Linked DNA regions of Tribolium castaneum. The protein of the gene in region 2 binds, or shares a complex with, the protein of the main gene of each other region. Links are inferred from orthologs where the notes say so. Each region holds a gene or a part of one and is shown on either strand. Other genes may lie near its edges.

What was found.
Region 1: MRG15 (region 2) and YL-1 share a complex: the UniProt entries of both Drosophila melanogaster proteins name them as parts of the tip60 chromatin-remodeling complex. The link is inferred for Tribolium castaneum from reciprocal best matches to the Drosophila melanogaster genes MRG15 and YL-1.

What each region holds. Positions count from the first base shown.
Region 1 is NC_087397.1:8,922,337-8,926,121, reverse strand, and holds YL-1 (vacuolar protein sorting-associated protein 72 homolog), read right to left. Parts: upstream 2,481-3,785; 5' UTR 2,335-2,480; coding exon 2,198-2,334; intron 2,148-2,197; coding exon 2,021-2,147; intron 1,965-2,020; coding exon 1,868-1,964; intron 1,817-1,867; coding exon 1,366-1,816; intron 977-1,365; coding exon 757-976; 3' UTR 721-756; downstream 1-720. UniProt on the Drosophila melanogaster protein: Part of the Tip60 chromatin-remodeling complex which is involved in DNA repair. Upon induction of DNA double-strand breaks, this complex acetylates phosphorylated H2AV in nucleosomes and exchanges it with unmodified H2AV.
Region 2 is NC_087400.1:991,330-994,617, reverse strand, and holds MRG15 (mortality factor 4-like protein 1), read right to left. Parts: upstream 1,874-3,288; 5' UTR 1,763-1,873; coding exon 1,735-1,762; intron 1,686-1,734; coding exon 1,568-1,685; intron 1,517-1,567; coding exon 694-1,516; 3' UTR 660-693; downstream 1-659. Other genes in the region: uncharacterized protein LOC657630, read left to right, coding at 1-245, 295-659; INO80 complex subunit B, read left to right, coding at 2,027-2,030, 2,078-2,448, 2,496-2,891. UniProt on the Drosophila melanogaster protein: Part of the Tip60 chromatin-remodeling complex which is involved in DNA repair. Upon induction of DNA double-strand breaks, this complex acetylates phosphorylated H2AV in nucleosomes and exchanges it with unmodified H2AV.

The DNA.
Region 1 (3,785 bases), on a different chromosome or scaffold from region 2:
CAAATTTATTTAAGCAATACGTGCGGATTATCTCATTTTTTTCCGTCCAAAGTAAGCAATAAATATCAAATCTAGAATCATACTCATTTTGTTGTAACGAGAATCTTTACCTTTTTTCGTGCAATAGTGTTACTATCAGACATGTGCAATTTGTAGAGAATGTTTTATTGAAAATTGTTTTCGGACATGAAATTGTTTTGCTGAGAGTACTTTAAAGATTTTTTAACTATTATAAATATTTACATTATGTTGTACTTAGATTAGAGATTAATTTCGTTTTCTCAGAGTTTTAACGAATTGTATATTAAAACAGTAATCTATTAACAAATTCGCATTGTTAATCGAACTACTCTTTTGATATACACTGTTCATACTCAAGTGCTAAAATTATTTTAACAAAGTAATAATGGCATTAATTAATGAGGTAGCTTATCAAATACCTATTAATTTTATATGATATGTTAAACTAGATGTAATTTATGTGTCATATTAATAATATTTAATGTTATTAATTCTTGTTGTACTTCATAAGCCAATTTTCAGCCAAATTATTGGCTACTGAGATTATGGTAATGTATTATTTGTGCACCAGTTTAATAAATATATTAACTAAACGTTTTCGACGCTTTTCATTCGTCCAAATTTGTTGCAAACTCATTCACTAACATTTAATCGTGTTGATCTCAGACCAAAACAGTTTTATTTGAAAGAAATAGAAACTGTATTATAAAAATTTATTAAATAGAGCAAAATAAATCAACTGTGATCCACCTGATGTGTTTTTACTTTCAACGCCAACTCCCTCCTTAACTTATCCTTATTCTTAACGTACCACTTAAGCCAGTTTGCAACTACTGGATTACTCTTATCTCCATGAGCTTCCAGTTGTTGGTAATAAGCAGAACGAATTATCTTCAAACACATGCTGCTGTGGTAAGGCAGACACGTTTTAGGGTCAACGTACTTTGCAAGGTGACTGAAAACACAAAATAAATAAAAATAAAAAAATGCGTCGCTTTTTAGAAAATATTTTGCTCCCTAATTCAAAAGTGCAAACTATGTCTTTTCCTCCCTAGACAGGAAAGACATACTGTGCACATTGCACCTCCAAATTAGGCGAAAAAAATATATACAGGGTGAGTCACTGTAATATGCCTGCAGATTAAATTGTAGAAAAATAAAAAAATAACCCCTGACATTTAAAAAAATTATGTTTAGACTGCACTGTAAAAATGGAAGACTGTATTATCGGACAAAGAATTTTAGAATACGATACCACTGACGGTGTATGTCATATCAATGACTCACCCTGTACACGTGACGGGAGCAAGAATTGCCCCTGCACATATAAATAGCTATTTTTACCCTGTGACAATGCATCTGAGACGTCGTGGAAGCGGACGCGCTGTCTTTTTTTCAAAAATGCTGTTAAATGTGGCATCGTTAGGGTCATTAAGCACTGAGATAAACGTGCGTTCGCACACGTTTTCTGATTCGTTCTTGATGTCTTTATCTTGATTGATTTCCTCAATGATTGGCATTCGTGTTGATCTGTATTGGATAACAGGGCCATTGATGACTTTTTTCACAGTTCGTTTCGTTTTCTTCTCACTTTCCATCTTTTGGTACTTTTCAAGTGACTTCAAGTTCTCCAATTCGGTCGTTTTTGCTTCTTCGAGTAACTCTTCCTGTGTTGGCACCCATTCTTCTTCTTTCGGTTTCTTGATTTTTTTCTTTTGTTCGAGATTTCGTACTTTGATGCGTTGTGCTGTTGCGGCTGATTTTGCAGCTGTGGACTTCCTGATTGACTTTCTTTCTGTAACACGTTTGTTGCCAAATATTATTAACTAACTCGTTATTTTCAAACCGTATTCTGTGGATTCATGTTGGGTTGTTCTGACTTTAGGGACAGGTTTTGTGGGTTTTGGTTTTGCTTTTTGTTTACTGGGTGCAGGCACTGGTTCCTACAATGTTTCAGATAAAAATTAACAAAAAATCGAACGTCATAATCGTGCATTACCTTGTAAGCCTTTGTAACTAATCTTCGTTTCTTCTTCTGACCCTCCTCCTCATTGTCTGAAATAGGTTCGTCATTTTCGTCAATACTAAAGTCGGAATCTACCACATCTTCGCCTTCTTCCTCCTCCCTGCAATTAAACCATAACAAAACGGAACAAAATGAATCAGAAGTGAGTACTCGTATTCCCTATCGGATTCGGTTTCTTCAAAACCACCATAATTGGTTTTGTAGAATTCGTCTTGACATTCTTCTTCTTCATCTAACAATTTTGCCATACGGTTACCGGCATTTGCCCGTTTTTCTCTTTTTGCCATTGTAACGAATTTCTCGCCTGGGACAGGGACAACAAACCAATGATAAGTTTTATTACAAAGTAAATGGTTTTTATTTAATATTTTTCCTAATTAAATAAAAAACACAAGCACTAAACACCATCTGTCAAACTGCGAAATTTTAAGGTTAGTATTTTGCTAGATACCATAGAATTATCAGTAAGTACCAATAGCTAAGTTTCATATGTCACTGCAACAAGCGTTCGAGTCCTTTCGTATTTTGGTAAAAAAAGATTTTGGCACTTTACAATGAATGAATGGAATAAATACGTGCGTGTGGGAATATTTTTAGAATTGATCTCATTTTTTCCTCCGCAATAACCCCACCAAAAGGGTGAAAATGAGTTATTTCTCGTCTTTTTGTTGGTGGTCCTGATAAATCGAGGGGAATTACAGAATTATCAATAAGTCGTCTTCAGCTGCTGCTGACGTTGCTGTTGCAAAGGTAGGTAATTGTTACAATAGCCAGCCACATTTCCGTTACAAAAAGAGAAAACAAAGATGGGAGTTCAAGGCATAGTTCTTATGACTGCGATGGTTTTTGCAATTGGGTTGGCCATATATGAAGTCTACACTGCTAGAAACAACACAGCTTCTTGTCACCAGAGCGACAATAAGTATACATATGTGTACACACCGAGGGTACAGGAAAGAACACCAGATACAGCAGATACAGGAAAGAACAAGTGAGTAACTTATTATGTAACTGCAACGTACAAAAACACCTTTTTACAGAAAAAAAAGAAGAAACTCGGTTCCGGAATGTGTGATATGTTGTGAACCATTGCCTGAAGGTGATGGTGGCATTATTTTACCATGCAAACATAAATTTCATGATCAGTGTATCACAAGATGGTTCAAAGAAAACAGAAGTTGTCCAGTTTGTCGCAAATGTGCATAAACTAAGATACAGTAATTTTTCTCAGCTAACAAATCTCAACATATCCTAGGTTTATTAGCATTAGGAACAGCATTACAGCTACACTCATGCTTTTTTCCTATTTTTTTAAATAACCTTTGATTAATTAAAACAACTGAAATCATGACAATTATTATGAGCAATATGTACAATTTTGTGCCTTTCAGGATGTTAACCGAATTTTAACATTTATTGTTTCCTAAACTGTATGTAGAATTGTAGAATGACTAGAATATTAATTTATTTGTCTCATTGTTTCTTGTAGAATATAGTTTTTCATTTTTTCTTGTAATTTGAATGAAAGGAAAATGTACAGGTCAAAAATAAAGTTTTTTGAACCATTTTTTGTTGTGTATTACTAATCCCAGCCAATAAGTTTTGTAAAAATAAAGTGAAAAATTACTGTAACCGCGAATATTCCGATTTCAGAGAAAGAAAGTTGTTAGGTTATGTAATATTGTTGACAGTTATTTCTGACAATAACAAAACCCTGTTTATCAGCTTTACACTCAAT
Region 2 (3,288 bases):
TAAAAGCATAAACACGTGGCTTGAGAGCAAAAAGGACGAAGTGGAACGCGCGAAAATGGAAGAAAAGATGAAGAGAGACGCCGATTGTGTTTTGTACGAAGTGACGAAGAAGAAATCGGAAGCGCGCAAGCAACTCTCACTCATTTCCGCGCTCGTTAAGTTGCGGACGGTTAGAGACGCCATGGCCACGCAAAGGGGCGACAAGTTGTCGCTGGAGGACAGGCAGGCCTTCGGGCACGTCACGGGTAAAATTGGCCAAACAAGACAAACACTTCTACATAACTAAACTTTCAGAGAAACTAATTCGCATGTGGGAGAACTCGTACCAGAGCTACTGCAAAGAGGAGCAATGCTTGAAAGTGATGCTGGAACACAACGCCAGTAAGGACTCCAAAGCGGCGATCGCCGCCAAACAAACCCGCATTGTCGACGACTGGGAGTCCCTCCTATTCGGCCCCCGAGACCCCCCCGTCAACAACCCCACCTTCTGGGCTCTAACGAGCGCCGACCGCGACTTGGAGACATTTATCGCCATAAGGAAAAGTTGGGACACGTTTCTAAGTCCGGGGAACGCCTCAGGCTCGGCTATTCCACTCGGGTGGGTCGCCCCGCCCGAGGCCCCCAGCGAGAGTTGGGCCCCGTTTTTAAAAACCGACTAATGCTTTTCTATTATTTTTAATAAAATAATCACAATTAAAGCGCCTTGCGGTGGTATTCAGGTGTGGCGTTCCCGTAGTCTTGCAGGCTGAACAATTGGGCGCTGTTTTTGACCAGATATTTCAAGAAATCTTGGATGTTCTGGAGCAGGAGTTGGATGCTGCGTTCGTCGAGGGGCGTGTACGCCAACATGGCCCCCAGCTTGACGAACAGACGGAGCAAGTGAGTGGCACCGTACACCTCAGACATGGGCTTATCGGGGTAGGTTTGCAAGATATCGGCGTACTGGGGCCGCTCGAACTTGTACAAAAGTTGCGTCCCCAACATCACGTTAAAATACTCCTTGATGCCTTTGACGATTTCAATCGTAGCCGACTCTTTGCTGGAATTATTCGACTTGATTGACTTCTTGTAAGCGAGATAGTTGTCCAGAATTTGCTCGACTGTGACTTTTGCCGGCAAATTTGCGAGTTTTCGTTGTCTGGTAATTACGTCCCAGTCGTCCACCAACCAAGGTTTCAACTCGTCAGGGATTTTAACCTTGATTTCAACCTTATTCAAAAATTGCTCCTCGGACTCGACCGAGGGGTCCAACCGCCCCCTTTTCTTCCGGGGCACGTCTGAACCCGAGTCTTGCCCACTCGACGGTGTGCTTATTTTGCTCTTCCCCCCTTTGATCAGTTCATTATTTGGGGTACTAGATCTCGAGTCAATGTCTTTCGTGGCGTCGGTTTTACTCTTCTTGGCCTTTTTCGTCTTGCTGGGTTGAGTCGAGTGGGCTTTTTGCACCTCCTTTTGTCTCGCAACGTTGGCCTCGTTGTATTTGAGGACACGGCTTTCGGGCACCCATTCGTCCCAACTGCAAACACACGACTGTCAATTACAAGGCCCCCCGAAAACACTTACACACTTTTTGTTCCAACCAGCGTAATGGATAAAGTACTTCACTTGCTTGTCCTTGGTTATGGTCGACTTCAGACATTTGGCTTCGTAAATCAACGGGCCGTGGAAGCACAAAACCTTCTCGCCTGGAAAAGGGGTGTTTGGGCGGCTTAAGGGGGCGACCACGTGTCTTACCTTCGGAAAATTTAAACTTGGGGGGCATTTTCGGCTTCAAACAATTTTTTTTGTTTTGACAATTGACAGTTGGTTGTGGCTACCGGCACATTTGTGCCGGTTATAACGCGTCCCGGTGCCTTTATTTGTTATTTATTGTATTTTGTGAAACATTTATTTGCTTGATGATTGATTTGGGGCGAAATTGTGCCAGGGTTAGTTAATTATGATTGATTACAAGCCAGAAGTGGCTACGGTCACGCCATTTTGTCAACATAACCTAGCTTTAGACGGCGTTTGAATTTGGCTTGGAATGGGTGAGTTTGTTTAAATGTGCCCCCTGATCGTGTTATCGTGGGTTTAGAGTTGCAGAAATCGAAGAAAAGTAAGGTTAAGCGGAGGCCCCCTTTGCCGGAGGACGACACCTCCGGTGATTTGCTCATAGTGGACGAGTCTGGTGCTAAAACCAAGTCGCCGGTGAACAAGCCCCCGTCCGCATCGTCCTCTGGTAATAAAAAGCGCAAAAAACGCGACAGTGCCTCAAGTGACGAGGAACGGTGGCTCACTGCCATCGAGTCCGGGAAGCTTGAGGATGTTGACGACGAATTGAAGAAAATCAAGCCGAAGGACCCGGCCTTGATGACGGCGCGACAGCGCGCCATGTACGAGCGTGAGGTGGACGGGAGCCCCTCTGTGACCACCCCCACGTTAATGTCGCTCCCGACTGGATATAAAGTAATTCAGTTTGTTTCAATTCAAATAGTTTAGACTTGTTGGTTTAGGAGAAGGTCATGACGGCCGAAGCGATTCAAAAAGCGGCGATCAAGTCGCAGAAACGCAAACAACTGGCGGACGAAAAGCGCGAAAAGGATAAGAAGAAGACGATGGAAAGGCTGCTCAAAAAGCAGGAGTCGAAGGCGGCCAAAGCGGCGAAAAACAAAATCACCAAAGCGCAAACCCCCATGATTTTGTACCGTCAGAATGTTGGGTTAACGACAGTGTCGTTCCCGCAAGGGATGGACTGGCCCTTGCCGGGGGCGGGGGGCAAAGAGCCCCCGAAAGCCACACTGTGTAGCATGGGCTGTGGCAATGTGAAAAAATACTCCTGTTCGCGGACAAATGCACCGCTGTGCAGTCTAACGTGTTATAAAAGGAATATCGCTAGTCGGATTTTGTGAGGGGAAGGGAAAAAAGGCCAGTTTTGAGTCAGAGATACGGTAATTTATTTGTTTTACATTTGTTGGGTTGTGACTAGGCCACTTGGATGGCGCGTATTAATTTTCGAATCAAAGTGGCCCGAGCCAATCACAGGCCACTTTGATCAGTTATTGTTACCGGAAGGAAACATTGTATGTGACTCTGTCTATCTGACCTATTTTGGCACGTGTGGGGCGCCCCTAGCGGGAAACTTCCCCGAAATTTGTGCATCTTAAACAAATAAACTTTAAGGTACTGTTCGTTTGTACAGGGTGCTGCTTTTTGGGTGTCCGAAATTAAGAGGTTAGAGAAAAATTAGAGACACATTCTCGGGTCAAAACCGCATCTCCCGATCGTCTTTTGTTTTCGACTTATAAA